Drosophila melanogaster: one gene and its partner. The protein of the gene in region 1 purifies or fractionates together with the protein of each later gene. This does not show direct contact. Each region holds a gene or a part of one and is shown on either strand. Other genes may lie near its edges.

Region 1 (9,026 bases):
TCTTCCAGGCAATTCACGTTCACGTTGGGGCAGTCCTCCTCCAGCTGCTTCATGTTGGCCCCCTTGCGACCGATCACATACTTGTGGATCCAATGTGCCGCATTGATCTCCACAGACTTGACCGAGTTGGACTTTTGGTAGACAACGGTTAGGGCATTTCCCAAAGCCACTTGCGGCCCACGCAAAGTGATCGTCTCCGAGGGGGAGTCATTGGGAGGCATCTCTACAGACACACCGGTCAACTGCAGAATCTCGGCGATGGTGGAGCCCTTCGGACCAATGACATATCGGTGCTTGGGCTTAGCTACCTCCACACTGACGGTAGAGCACTTCTTTTCCATATCCTTGTAAATGGCCTCCACCTTGGCCTTTGCCGCTGCGACCGCGTCCTTCTCGCCCGAGATGACGATCTCGTCCTTCTGAACCTGCTGCGGCGGCACGTTGATCCTAGCGCCGGTCTCCTCCTGCAGCTTATTTAGGTTCTCGCTGTAGGGGCCCACGATGAAGGGATGGTAAACTTTGGGCACCGTGATGCGGTCCGATGACTTCTTGTACTGCTCGGCTGACAGCTGACGGATCTCCTGCTCGGCCTGGGCAATACCCTCCTTGGTTCCGGCAATCGTGATAAACTCGCTCTCATCGCTCTGGCTGGGGATGTTGATGCGCGTCGCAGTAACACGCTCGATTTCGCGCAGCCGTTGGCCACCCTTGCCGAGGATGACGCGGAAGTGCTCCCGAGGAACGGTCACCTGCCGACTGGCCTGAGTGGAGAAGCCCATAAGAATCTTACGGCGGGCATCGAGCAGCTCGCTCTGCTTGCCCTTAATCAGGAAGGTCAGCGACTGGTTCTTGCCGCTCACAATCTCGATCTGGGCTCCGGTCTCCTTGGTGATCTGCTGGCAAATACGCTTCGACTCGCCTTCGCCAAACTTCTCCGACTCCGTGGACTTGCGCTCCTTGCAGGGAACATGCACAATCTGTTACAAAAAAAATTGAAATCCATAGAATCAGAACCAAATCAATGTATGTCTTTTTCGAGCTTACATGAGTTTTTTGGGAACTCGTCACACGAGCTAGAGTCGAACCGGAAGCTCCGGATTGCGATTGAGCCGAAGTGTTGGCCGGCAGGGCCGGAAACAGGTCGTCGTAGCTAAAGGCGGGTGTGGCATTGCCAGTTCCGCCGCTAGTGGTACTAGTGGGCGTGGCCACTGAAGTTGGCGAGGATGGTTGCTGCTCGTTGGCCACCTGCTCTTGGCCATTAATGAGAGCGATGGGCTGCTGCTCGATGGTAGTTGCTGCATGATGATTTTGGTTAACAATTGCTTGATAATATTTAGCCTTCGAAGAACTCACCGTTGTTAGTTTCCTCCATCACTGCTGCTGCTTGCATTACTTAAAAAAAGAGAAAAGTCCTTTTTCGTTCCAAGTCGTTTACAGTACACTGAAATTGAAAAGTAGAAGATATCTTATCAAGTGCATTAAAACGTTTACATCATACTGGACCCTATAAATGAACCTTGTTTATCAGCCAGCGATAAAGCAAACAACCAGGAAGGAAAAATTTCTAGGGGATTATCGAAGTGCTGGTCGATCAATCAAAGAACAAATAGTTAAATGGCATTCTTATTTTGGCAAACATGGATTAAAATAGGCCCGTTTAGCTACAGTTTTCATCTGTTTCTGTTGTCAGTCGCCCGCAGACTTACCAAAATCGCAGATAGTTGATAAGTGCGACCTCCGAGGACCCGCATTTGGCTGCGACCAACTGATAAGGAACTACATAAGTACATACACACTTTAGGACCGCTTGGCTACAGTAAACAAATTAGTACAAAGATAATTCATTGGATATGCGGCGTGACTTATGTACAGGAAATCTAACAAGTTGCGTTACTATTGCTTTCTTATAAAAACGTCAAAAGTTTGCAATTTTTTGTTTGCTGTTTTCCATTTCTTCTTAATTTGTGAATGGAAGAAATTTCCAATAACATCCAATACTACATTTAATAAAATATCTATTAAATTAGATCATAAATTATTCATTGAATTCACCTCTGTAGCTTATATTCGTAAAGTTTCCTTCGACTGAATGCAGAATCATTCCGGGAAACCATGTTGCATGCCCCACTGTAAACAGTGCGTGTCCAAAGGGGGTGCATGAAATGGATTTTCTGGCGTTGATAAACCGAAATAGTCTCTTTTCAAACGAGCTTTCTGCACCACAGCCTGAAACTAAGGCCACGTAGTGCTTGGATCTGCGAGATGAGTGCTCGACACAACTCTCCGCTTTTCGGTGGTGATAAGTGGACGCGGCCGATGGGCCACGCAGGCAGATTCCGGGGCTGAGTGATAACTATCGGCCGTTCTGGCTGATAAGCTCAGTCGTCCGATTGCCACCAAGATATTGTGGTACGTACACACACAAACACACAATGCTACAAGTGCGCTTTCCGAAATTTAGGCTGCTATCAGTCGGATTTCGATTGGGTGAAAGGTTGGGGCCTCGCGAATGAGAAAGAGAGATCTCAGCCGAGGAGCAGCAGAGACCATGCACTTGTTCGACCAAAGCTGTTTTCTAAATCCATGCCCAACGAGTTTTCGTAGCCTACATTTTCCTCTCTACCGAAAGAACAACAAAGATATGTCTGTCTCCTCTCTGTTAGTTGTGTCTTTGTATGTGCGGACAGCGGCGGTGGCAGGGTATGTGTAAAGGGGGCCTCTTACTTTTAAATCATACGGTTTTGTAAATTTCAATGAAAGCTTAATACATTTATATATTACAGATAACAATGACAACTGCAAGTGACACCAGATCATTATCCCTAACATTTAATAATAGTTTTTCATTTCAGAATTAATTTCCCAAAAAAATAATCACCTAACGACGAATCTGTTTGTGCTCATGAAAAATGTGTCAAATACAGAGACAAGAGCACGAGAGCGACAGGAACAGGGAGAGGAGAGAGCGAGAGCTTGACGAAGTAACTTAACGGAGCAGGGGAGCAGCTCCATATAAAACCGGATGATAGCCGGCAACTACAACAAAACGATCGAGCAGTGCCAGTGGTGTATTGTATGCATGTGAGTGTGCTGTGCCTGTGTGCCTGCACATTTCTGTGTCGCTCTTTTTCTTCTTCGGGAATACGGTTGTGTGTGTGTGTTGCCACCTTTCGAGAAGGCACAGGTAAAAAACGAAAACAAGCAACATACCTACATAGCAAATACCATCGTTCATACGTTCGTATGTGACGCCTGCAGCGACGCTGACGTCGACAAATGAAGACAAAGCACAATAACAATGCGCTAAAGTTCAGCTTTAAACAAAAAACCAAAAAAAAAAAAAACATATATACAAAATTGGTATGCACATATCGGATGGATTCTTGTTTCTGTAATTTCGATACAAAGATCCCAAAGACCAAAAAAAGAAAAGCTTGACGTAGTCAGTTTTAGGCATGAAACCGTTAACTTGGACGACATTTGTTGTCTTTTTTTTGGCAAAACACTTGTGTAAAATGTTAAACTATGCAAATTAACTCTAGGCAAAGGTTGTTCAACTTACGGTACTGTAAAATCCAAAAAATCCGGCCGAGTTTACTCTCCTTTGACCAAATCCAGTTTGATAACTTGGGTGTCTGCTGGAAAAGCCGAAAAACAATTGCTTAAAATTAATGCAATTAGCGGATGCAGAAGATCGGATCGTGGCATCACCAGGATGAATGCCCTACAAATCATTTAGTCAGTCATTCTGCGTTATGCACATCCCCAATAGAAAGTCTAATGTTATTTGTCGCAGAGAGCGCGTTGTTGCAGAGAGCACGGTGAAGGAAGGGGAGGGGGGCAGCATATGCGGGCCACTTATTGGACAATTGTTTTTGTGGCAGCAGCGGAGGCAAAATTGGAGCAGCGCGTGGGCGTGTTTGTGTGCGTCTGTGTGTGTGTGTGAGAGTATGGAAATGCGGAAATCAGTGCCGTATGCTTTCCAGGTGAAAGGTTGTGTGGATCCTCTTTTCCGGCACGGGGCGGGGCCTTAACTCTGCCTCCCCCTCTCGAAAAATAGGAAAATTAAAGTAAAAAAAAATAAAAGGCAGCACGCGCGCCTTCCAATCGGACAAATATGCTTATATATGCACGCTCACACGTATGCACGGGATTTTACGTCCCTATGTGAGCGTGTGGGTCGTCGACGTCGCCGACTTTTGTGACTGTGTGGGTGAGCGCGAGTGCGCCGTCCGTGTGTATTATCAACCATTGAAAAACACGTTGTTTTTCGCCGACCGCACACAAATTTGAAGAAAAATTAGCGGCCCGAATTTTCTTTCATCGTTTTTTTTAATTCGCCACTGCCGTCTCTTCTTCTTCTGCTTGCTCTGCCGTCGCCGCCCCACCGCTGCCGGCCCTTTATAACTGTAAATCCGTGCACTCTCTTTCGCTCGCCGCAACTTATGCAATTCCGGCTGCAATTATACCGCCGCACGGATCACCGAGCAATGTGAGTTGATTTTCGCACTGGAATCTTGGTAAATTCACACCCAGACTTTCTATTGGAAGGCAGAACGCACGGACGCGGAACTCAACGTTACCGACTCCAAGTAAAATGTGAATGAACATGAGCGAACGTGGCAAATAGAGATGGGCGATACGCCGCAGCGGGTGCAGGGTTGTCGCTCTTACCAATCGCAAGCGCGAACTGTCAAATCGAACTATCGACTATTGGGTCTATTACCATGGCCTTCTTTTGGGGATTTTCAAAAATTAATTAAAGAATTATTCAATAGTAACAATAAAAAAAATATATTAAAAAAAAACTTAGACAACAAACACCAGTTTTTAAAGATGATAATCGTTATTATGGGGGTTTCCTTATATGCAAATTAATAAAGATTAGATATAAATGCTTAAATTTTTTCCTTATATGCACATAATGATTAAGAATTAAAATTCAAATGTTAAGTTTTGTATGTTAGTCAAATATAATTGATTTTTTCAATCAGACGGAAAAGACAAGAAATGCTATTTAGTTGAATTTCTTAATAAAACTAAAAATTTTTAGTTGTAAGTGAAATATCGGTTGATAATCGGCTCGGAATATCGATAGTCAGGTCCATCCTTGGCCTACCACCACCAAATTGAAAAAGAGCAAAGAAACACAAAGGCAAAAAACTCCCCAATCTGTGGAATTTCCGGAAGCGAGAGCACATTCAAAGCTACCAGTTATCAGCGAGCAGCATGTCAAAGCTCAGGAACCTGTTGCCCACAATCTTTGGCGGGAAGGAGGCACAGAATCCGACACCCGTCGAGGGACGCCTGGAAAAGGACGCAGCTCCCGTGGACGACAACGAACCAGATAACAACAACAGCGGAGCCCTGGCGCTGCCCTCCACCGCTGGCACGCCCACAGCCTCCTCGGATCTGACCGAATCCGTGCTGCGCGAGCTCAGCGACCCAAACTACAATTCAATGGATGTGGTGCATTCCGCCAATATTCCGGGCACTCTCAGTAACGTCCAGACAAACAACACCATGAACGTACACAGCGCCCAGCAACAGGTGGTCATGAACTTCTCGAATGCCAATAATCTGCACTTCGGCTCCGTCTACAACTTCAACCAAAACTTGAGCGCCTGCAGCTCGCGAAAGGGTAGCACCAGTACCGCAGAGGAGTCGGTCGCCTCTCCAGACGGTAAGCCGCGGGCAAGTGCGACGCGCAAAACGGTCAGCATTGTGGCCATGATGCAGTCACAAGAGGAACCGGATGTGCGCCTGCTCGATGTGGTTTCCACGCACTTGGGCGAGGGCTGGAAGCAGGTGATGCGGGATCTTGGCATGTCGGAAGGACAGATCGACCAGGCCATAATCGATCACCAAATGCATGGCAATATTAGAGAGGTAAGGCCCCTGAAGTTTAAACTTCTCTTATTTGTTGTTGAATGTTGATTCAAGAACAGAACATACAAACTCAAATTAGTATGTAAAACAACAGACTATGCTAAGATGATTGTGACGCATCAGACTAATTTAATGACTCAAATACCACTATTTCTGTTAGATTTCATTGCTTGACACGAATGGATTGTTCAACTTAAAAAAAAAAATAATATAAATTAGCTTACATTATTGTGAGCTATTTATTTTATATAATACTGATAGTGATTCCACTTGTTTGTCTGATTAGATTGCAAGTTATGGTGTATAAATGTCACAACTCTGTTGTTAGAGTACCAGAAGATTTTAATGATTTTTAAGAGTTAGAAAATCAATCATAAAATCAGAAAATAACACTTTGCTTTGTGTCTACGTCTATAGGTGATATACCAGCTGTTGCTCCAGTGGATTCGAAGCTCGGCGGACGGTGTGGCCACCGTTGGACGACTTACTACACTGCTGTGGGAGTCCCAGCATCGCGACTGCGTGCAGCGCATGAAACTGGTTTGGAAGGCACTGGAGAAGCGCAAGACAAACAGCTAGTCAGTGAGTGAAACTTGCTAGCAAAGATTCCAGAACGAAAACGATGCATTCAAAGTGGCCCCTTGATGTCCAAGCCAGCCGGATGGTGAAAACTGGAAATGTTTAACCCACCAACTTTTGCTAAATTCAGAGCGGCCTTTGACAGAAGACATCGAGTGGTAGAGAGAAGAGACGAACACGGGATATATGTGCAATATTTGATTTATAAATCCAACCTATCGAATAAGTGCGTAGAATTGCATTAACTGTTATTACTGCAGTTTAATCTTTAAGTTGTGATACTTGTGTCGAAAAAAAAAACCAGCTAATTGAGCTGGTATTTAAAAGCATTTTTGTAAAGTTTATACAAATAGAAGCTTTATTGTTACGTAATCAGAACACGTTGCGTTTGTAACCTTTAAGCTAGTGCAAACAATTACACAATCTTTGTGATCTTCGAACTGAACATGTCGATCAACATCTGTGCCCCATTGCCATTGAGCGACTGGTAATTGGGCTGTGCGGCCATTCTGTCTAGCCAGCCGTTTAACTTGGGATAGCGCTTGGCATCGATAGCGGCCAATCCCACTAGGCTGGAGACCGAGGAAACTACACTGTAGTCGGCGATGGTTATGACCGGTCCGCAGAGGTAAGCCTGATTACCGATGAACGCTTCCAGAAAGTCATAGGCCTCGTAGATGGCATCAATCTGGGAACGCGGCACCTCAGTTATGTTCTTGTAGAACAACGGAATGGCTATGTTCCGGATGCAGCCCTGGAATAACACACCCGACTCAAAGTGCAGGCGCTGATCAACGAGTGCGCGTTTGAAGTAATCCTTGGGATACAGGTCATCACTCTTGGCATAGCGTCTAACCAGATAAGCGCAAATGGCGTGACTCTCCCAGATGAACTTGCCATCGTCCTCCAGCACGGGTACCGTGTGCTGCGGATTCTTCAGGCTGAACTCCTTCGTCTTGTGCTCACCGGCCAGCAGGTTCACCAGCCTATACTCATACTGAAGGCCCAGGGCGTCGAGGGTCAGTTTGCATGCTCGCACCGGCGGACTAGCCTCTACGCCGTACAGTACTAATTTTCCCATCGCTTCAGGTGTCCGCTCGCCTTGGCTGTTGACTTGAAACTAAACCAGCTCCGACTATCGCAATTATCGATCGGATGAACTTACAGCTCATTTTATTTCAATTTATATACGCTACTTGCGTATTCCATGCTGACTCACTCTTGTCGTTCGAGATAATTAGCGTTCCTTCTGATTGGCATAATATTTATTTGAATATGCCATTTTTAGAGGGATTCTGTGTTCTTGAAGACAAAACACCTATCTATTATCAGCATTTTCAGCAAAGCTATCTTTGCTTGTAGGATCGATTAGGTAATCTCCATGGACGAGTTCGACTGAGCCACTCCATGAGGTGTTAAGTGTTTTGGTTTGTCTTATCATATTTGTTTGAAATGTGATGGAAAATTCTTCCACTTGACCTGTTTAATTTGTCTTCTTACAACCGAATCAGGTGGCGATTTTTAAAACTGTCTATTATCATAAAATAAAAATCATAAGATAACAATATTTGAAGAATAGTCTTAATAATGTTTTATACAATTATTAAACATTATTATTACAATTATATACTAAGAATAAATTATTAAGTTGAGAAGGTAAAATTGAATTTCTTGAGGAGGGTCACCAAATCCCGGGCACCTTTGCCACATGCCTCCTCGTAATAGGGTAGTTCCTCAATCCTCTTGATCCACGCAGTTATATTGGCGTATTTTACTGTATCGATGACCACGAATACCGCCAGTGCGGTAATCGATGTGATTAGGCTAAAATCCGCGATGGTCAACTGATCACCGGCAATGAAATCGTGTCCGGTGAGAAAAGTCTCTACAAAGTCGTAAATCTCTATGACGGCATCGTAACGCTCCTTGGGAATCGTCGTCTGACCGGTCGCAAAGAGCGGCTTGGTGATGCCTCTCAGTCCGTTGACAAAGACCACGCCGGACTCGAAGTGCAATCGCTGGTCCACCACAGCGCGTTGGAGGAGATCTTTCGGATAAAGAGTATCACTCTGGCCATACTTGGACACCAGATATGCGCTGATTGCGTGTGAGTCCCAGATGAAATGGCCATCGTCCTCTAAAGTGGGCACCGTATGCTGGGGATTCTTCCGCAAGAACTCGGGCGAAAGGGTCTCCTTGGCCAGGGTGTTTATTTTGACGTATTCGTAGGGAATGCCAAGGGCGGCCAAGGTCAATTTGGCGGCCCGAACTGGAGGACTAGCCTCTGTCCCGTACAAAATCAGCTTGGACATGCCGTCTAGAGGTTGAGCCTAGTACTAAAAGTAGAAGCCAAAGAGGCGCCATATTTATTTGATTTGGAAAGAGAACGTTAAAGAGACACATTTTCGCAAGAGAGTTGACAAAAACCTGGCGAGGTGCTCTTTAGTATTTTTATATGTATATTTTCTATTTGTTTATTTTTTGTACTGTACGATTATTTTATTTATAAAGTGTTTAATATATATTAGCAGCATGTATAGATGATTTAATTCGATGCG
Region 2 (6,282 bases), 2.5 Mb from region 1:
GCCAACAACGTGCCGTAAAACATTTTCACACGGAGGACGAAGCGGCCAGCTCCTACAAGGCGGTCAAGCGCGGCAAGAAGAAGTAGTAGAAACGTGATCATCTGTATGCCAACATCTTCCGCATCGCACACTCAAAAACACTAGGAAGCAAAGCGTTGGGTTCTGTTCCATAGCAGGAAAACCAATTCAAATATTTTTTAACAAACACAATTCTTTACCAGTTCTGTCTTATCCTGCGTGAGTCGACCAGAATGCAACACTAAAAAATGTACAACTTCAAGATGCTATTGATGTGCACGCAGGATACAGAACAACTTGCTTAAATTTACTTAAAACAAATGTGACTATTCAACGCCGAAATCATTACAACACACACTCTCAGACCTAATCGAAAAATTCAATGAAAGTAATGGAATATATATGAAATCGTAATTATAAGTTTGAATTATTTGATTAATTCTCAAGTTTTTAGATTTTGTTAGCCACTAAGCTTTAAATTATGGATGCCAGTTAGCGTGCAAATGAACACAATTGATTTGAAGGCTCCGAACGATAGAAAACAACAATTACCAATTCCCCAAATACATGTAATTCGTAAGGCCTAAGTAAATGTTAACGTGAATTTAATTAAATGGTAATTACATTATAATAGTAAATCCAGTGTTCTACTTATGCGACTTATAGAGAATTAAACGTATTAACTAACTAGTCCACCATCTCCATTTGCGTCTCCTCGGATTCCCGCCAAATGCGCTGCACCATCTCTACCAGCTGCTTCCAGAGCGCCGTCTTACGCAGGAAGTTGGCAAGGCAGACGAGAATAAAGGCCCAAGCCAGGCCCAAATAGTAATCCGTCTGCACAATGGGTTTATTAGACAGCGGCTCCATCTCTGCGCGAGTGAGGATGATCGGATCAATGGCCTGCGGATTCACAGTCTTCATATTGGTGTGACTCATTATGAAACTGGCAAAGCTGCTCTTTGTGTCCTTCCACCCGGGCTCGAATTTGATTAGCGGCCTGCCCTGGTGGAATAGCATCAGTGTGGGCAGCGAAACGATGCCGAATTCTGCATTGAAACGACCAAACTCATAGGCATCCACATAGGCGATGGGTAGCGTGGGAAAGTAATGGGGCAGCACGTTGACCATCGAAGCCACACGAGCGCACTCCAAGCTGGATGCGGTGCAGAAATGGACAAGTACACAGTTGCCCGGCTCGTGGCGCTTGGTGGCATTGCCCATGGGCTTAAGCAGATTCACTATATCCTTGGCACTGCGCATTATCAGCAGTTCCGGCTCGGATGCTGTCTCATTCTCGATATCCCGCTGCAGGCACTTCATCATAATAGGTGGCTTTCGAACCGGAGGCAGCTGGTTTAGGTGCATGATGTGCTCGTCATCCGGGGCACATGTGTGTCGCTCCTTCAGCAAGGTTTCGAAGCTATAATGGCACTGGCCCCGCGAAACTCCCAGGGAATACACCGTCAAATTTGAGAAGAGCCCGAAATACTGGAGGGCACTTAGTAATCCGGAGAGTTCCGCCTGGCCCTGCGCGGCGCAGAGCACTGTGGAAGTGGTATAATGTTACTGATTGAAGAACTCGATATAAATAAATAACGTACAAAATACAAACAAGAGATTTTGGTTCATTATATCGTTGGTTGGACAGCTGTTGAAATAGTTGGCTGTTATATGGCACTCGTGAAATACCTGGAAACTTCTTAGGTTTGGATATACCGAATAGCAAGGTAAACTGCTTGACCTTGTTTTTGTAAGCAGTGCCCATTAAGTTGGTATTTCATCGATGAAACATTGACGATGTATCGAAAAACATCGATGCTTATTTTTACATCGCTACAATAAGTTTATATTTTTACCTTACCTTATTTTCATTTTCGTCTGCGCTCGCTGGTGATTCCCTTGGTGGCATTACATCATTGGTGGATCCATTCGGATCCAATTTAGAAGCGCCACGATGACGGAGCTGGGCATGGAGCTGGAGAGCGTTCGCCTGGCGACATTTGGGGAATGGCCCCTGAATGCCCCAGTTTCCGCGGAGGATCTGGTCGCCAATGGTTTCTTTGCCACGGGAAACTGGCTGGAGGCCGAGTGCCATTTCTGCCACGTGCGCATCGACCGCTGGGAATACGGCGATCAAGTGGCGGAGCGCCATCGCCGCTCCTCGCCCATCTGCTCCATGGTTCTGGCTCCCAATCACTGCGGCAATGTTCCCAGGAGCCAGGAGAGCGACAACGAGGGAAACAGCGTAGTGGACAGCCCGGAGTCCTGCTCTTGTCCCGATCTCTTGTTGGAGGCCAATCGCTTGGTAACTTTCAAGGACTGGCCGGTGAGTACCCTGAGCTGGTGTCGCTCGCTTCTGGTGATTCACCATAGCGGGTCATTGTAATCACTATAGTTTCAGTTTCAAGCTCACTATAAGTGCATATGTAAGTATGATTGCGTAGTTAAAAAGTAGCGTAAATGAGGCCAGGAAAATCCCGGTCGAAAGTATCAATGATATTTTTGTATACAAACAAGAAATGTCTTGTTAGCTGCCTCAATTCAGCTGAATGTTGATTGATAATCCTACGAAATTAAGCTTTAATTAAGATATACAAAAATCATTATGAACTTCAAATGAAGTTATTGTATACTGTATAATTTCAAATATTTTTAATGACTGAATAAGATAGTTTAACTTTAGCCCAAAACGTCTTCCTTTGTAGAATCCCAACATCACGCCGCAGGCTCTGGCAAAGGCAGGTTTCTACTACCTGAACCGTCTGGATCACGTGAAGTGTGTTTGGTGCAACGGAGTGATTGCCAAGTGGGAGAAGAACGACAATGCCTTTGAAGAGCACAAGCGCTTTTTTCCCCAATGTCCTCGTGTGCAAATGGGCCCCCTTATAGAGTTTGCCACCGGGAAGAACCTGGATGAGCTGGGCATCCAGCCCACCACTCTGCCACTGCGTCCCAAGTACGCCTGCGTGGACGCCAGATTGAGAACCTTCACCGATTGGCCCATTTCCAATATTCAGCCCGCTTCGGCTTTGGCGCAGGCTGGCCTATATTATCAGAAAATAGGCGACCAGGTGCGCTGTTTCCACTGCAACATTGGATTGCGCTCCTGGCAGAAGGAGGACGAGCCGTGGTTCGAACACGCCAAGTGGTCGCCAAAGTGTCAGTTCGTTTTGCTGGCCAAGGGTCCAGCCTATGTAAGCGAAGTGCTCGCGACAACAGCTGCCAACGCCAGTTCCCAGCCAGCAACTGCTCCGGCTCCAACGCTCCAAGCAGACGTACTGATGGATGAAGCTCCGGCCAAGGAGGCCCTAGCCTTGGGTATCGATGGAGGAGTTGTGCGCAATGCCATCCAGCGCAAGCTCTTGAGTTCCGGCTGCGCTTTCTCTACGTTGGACGAACTATTGCATGACATCTTTGACGATGCGGGCGCAGGAGCTGCACTGGAGGTGCGCGAGCCGCCGGAGCCAAGTGCTCCTTTTATTGAACCATGTCAGGCCACCACCAGCAAGGCAGCATCTGTGCCAATACCGGTGGCCGATTCCATCCCAGCCAAACCACAGGCAGCTGAAGCAGTGGCGAATATATCGAAAATCACAGACGAAATACAAAAGATGTCGGTGGCCACGCCGAACGGAAACCTATCGCTGGAGGAGGAAAACCGCCAGCTAAAGGATGCACGCTTATGCAAGGTATGCTTGGACGAGGAGGTTGGCGTAGTGTTCCTGCCCTGTGGCCACTTGGGTAAGTCGCTGAACTATACCTTGATTGCCTTGAGCTGTAGCTAACTTCCTGTTAACCCGACAGCCACCTGCAATCAGTGCGCCCCCAGTGTAGCCAATTGTCCCATGTGCCGCGCAGACATCAAGGGATTCGTGCGCACGTTCCTTTCGTGAAGTGCATATCGACATCATTTAGAGTTCACCAGCCTAGTTAGCAGTTAAGCAAATCGATTGATTGCACCCACACAAACTACTACAGCGAAGTTCAAATTATCCGGTGATTAGCTAATATAATCGTCTACTAATCGTCTACTAAGTACTTGGCCAACTGCAGCTATTCGTTTTTACATTAGCTACGGTTGTAAGTTGTCGTTACTAACTATCGCATTGTGTCCGAGCGCATCCCTTTTGAACCATACATTATGCACGCTGAAATGACCTTATATAGATGAGCAGCTCTAATTCGCGCTGAAAAGGGTATCAATGCACCGGCACGACCGCAGATCACATGGATTTCTTGTTATAGTACTCTTATTAACACATGTATGTATTTTTGTTGATCATGTTTATAGGCCGCTGATAGTATGGTTTACACACAACTATATGCATTCTCCAATAAATGTATATGTAAATGTTAAAAAATTTGTCTTTTCAATTGCAAAAATTCTTTAAAATAATTTATTTATTTTGCTAAGTTTTAAATCCCAACGGTCTTCAAGTGATGTGCCCCGAGAGATTAGCCTATTAGCTTGCAACAGTCTGATTCCACTGCTCACAACTATCTCGATATCATCGCCATGCACGGTTCGATACTATCGATAGTAGCATCGATGTTTTGACGGCTCTACTCAAAAGTACCAAAATATTGGTATCCAAGCAATCGTTTTCAGCTCTCCGCGTGAAGTCGTGTGCGCTGCTCGTAAGGGAGCTCCATTGAGTTCTGGTCGCGAAAAACTAACAAGCTCCAACGCCAAGAAGTGCAGAAGATAGTGAACAAAATTTAGAAGAACCGAACCGAAGCTACGGGGAATTTTATGTGTGAAATCGAAATTACCAAACGCGCGCTCGTGTGAGTATATTCTGCGAGTATTTCAAAGGAAGAGTTCAAGTGTGTGTGTGTGTGTCTGGTGTTGCTGCTGCATTTTACGGAGTGTGGGCGCTTTATGCTCTTTATAGTGTGGTGTGGCAAGCAGTGGCCATATCCCCCCGCTACACCAGAAAACCCTTACAGTCCGCTACCTTTCCATTTTGGAATCTTCTTCGAAAAACACTTTTTCGTACGGTGAGAAACAAAGCGACGCACGCACACACACGTTCAGCGAGCGTTGCTTATCTAGATTGTAAGAGGGAGGGAGGGGAGAGAGAGCGCGACACGTATCTGAAAATCTCAATCTCACAAGTACACACCGTAATTTCGGTTGTCGAGCGTGCTGCGCATACGCGCTTGGCTTGATACCATTTCTCACATTTTCCATTCGGGTCAGTCGCTGGAAACAGCTGTGGGCTGTCCCCCCACCCCTTACCATTCCCTTCTAAAGAGAATGACCAATCCACCCATTAAGGTATTCCCCAGCGAACCGCAAAAGCCCAATCAGCGTTTATTTTTTATTCGGAATGATTATTCATTTAAAACTCTGGATAACCTGTATGTATGCGTGATGGTGTGTGTTGGCAATGTTTTGCAAATACATACAATTTCAACAGCGCATAAAAAAAAGAAAAACAAAAGCAGGGCGGGCTTTTTACCGTTCTCTTTCTCTTTCTTCCGCCTGCCAGAGGAGAATGCAAAAATAAACAAATAACGAATTCCCGCTATCTGGACTGCGAATGTGTTCAGAATTTCTATATCCATATATGTATGTATCCGTACACAACGTTTGTTTAGCAATTGACCCAGTGCTTCCCTTAAATATTGAACTCAATTGGAGGCGCAGTTACACGCGGTGGGCACTTTATTGACTGCATTACTCATATGCAAGTCCCAAAAGGAGGGGGATCGAATGCGAATGCCGCACCCCGTACTTGCAGCACTTATCTGTCTACGAAGAAATTGCATAAAACGTGCCGATCTCAACGTTTGATGTTTTACAAGAGTAGCTGGCATGGTGGTAGATAGCTGAAGTACAGTGAACTGGCGCTATGCGAGTCTGTGCTTGACCCACAGAAGTTACTGTCAAAACATTGCTTATAGATTTTGATTAATCACTTGTAAAGTTCATTAAACCCATTTAGGCTCATTACAAGTGATTAAGGTTTTAAGTGCCCTTTTAGCTTAACTCATATGCCTAATACATTTTGTACATCATTAAGTCACAAAGCAGTTTAAATTATGTTTTGAGCTACTTTATTAAAGAGAGTAAACCCTGCGTTTTTGTGTAGTTTTTACTAATGCCAGTTACTGTTAGCCGGTTTTCACTGTGCCAGGGCTGCGGCACCTGCACGCATCGCAGATCGAACCGTTGGAAGCCTCGCATCTCGCGATCAGCATAAGTTGCAACCCTAGTCGCTCACTAACATACACACACAGGCAGACATGCTGCTC

Evidence for each region.
Region 2: the proteins of imd (region 1) and Diap2 purify together in Drosophila melanogaster (affinity purification with western blotting; 2 studies listed by BioGRID). This does not show direct contact.

Annotation. Positions count from the first base shown.
Region 1 is NT_033778.4:18,407,614-18,416,639, reverse strand, and holds imd (immune deficiency), read left to right. Parts: upstream 1-3,040; 5' UTR 3,041-3,184; intron 3,185-3,210; exon of another isoform or gene 3,211-3,314; intron 3,315-3,562; exon of another isoform or gene 3,563-3,792; intron 3,793-4,283; exon of another isoform or gene 4,284-4,613; intron 4,614-5,053; 5' UTR 5,054-5,229; coding exon 5,230-5,889; intron 5,890-6,306; coding exon 6,307-6,468; 3' UTR 6,469-6,844; downstream 6,845-9,026. Other genes in the region: Dp1 (Dodeca-satellite-binding protein 1), read right to left, coding at 1-977, 1,045-1,295, 1,354-1,390; GstE9 (glutathione S transferase E9), read right to left, coding at 6,884-7,549; GstE8 (glutathione S transferase E8), read right to left, coding at 8,112-8,780; GstE7 (glutathione S transferase E7), read right to left, coding at 9,014-9,026.
Region 2 is NT_033778.4:15,930,264-15,936,545, reverse strand, and holds Diap2 (Death-associated inhibitor of apoptosis 2), read left to right. Parts: upstream 1-1,720; 5' UTR 1,721-1,748; intron 1,749-1,828; exon of another isoform or gene 1,829-1,965; 5' UTR 1,966-1,975; coding exon 1,976-2,347; intron 2,348-2,726; coding exon 2,727-3,762; intron 3,763-3,825; coding exon 3,826-3,914; 3' UTR 3,915-4,376; downstream 4,377-6,282. Other genes in the region: Mlf (Myelodysplasia/myeloid leukemia factor), read left to right, coding at 1-86; bug (bunker gear), read right to left, coding at 706-1,565, 1,623-1,650.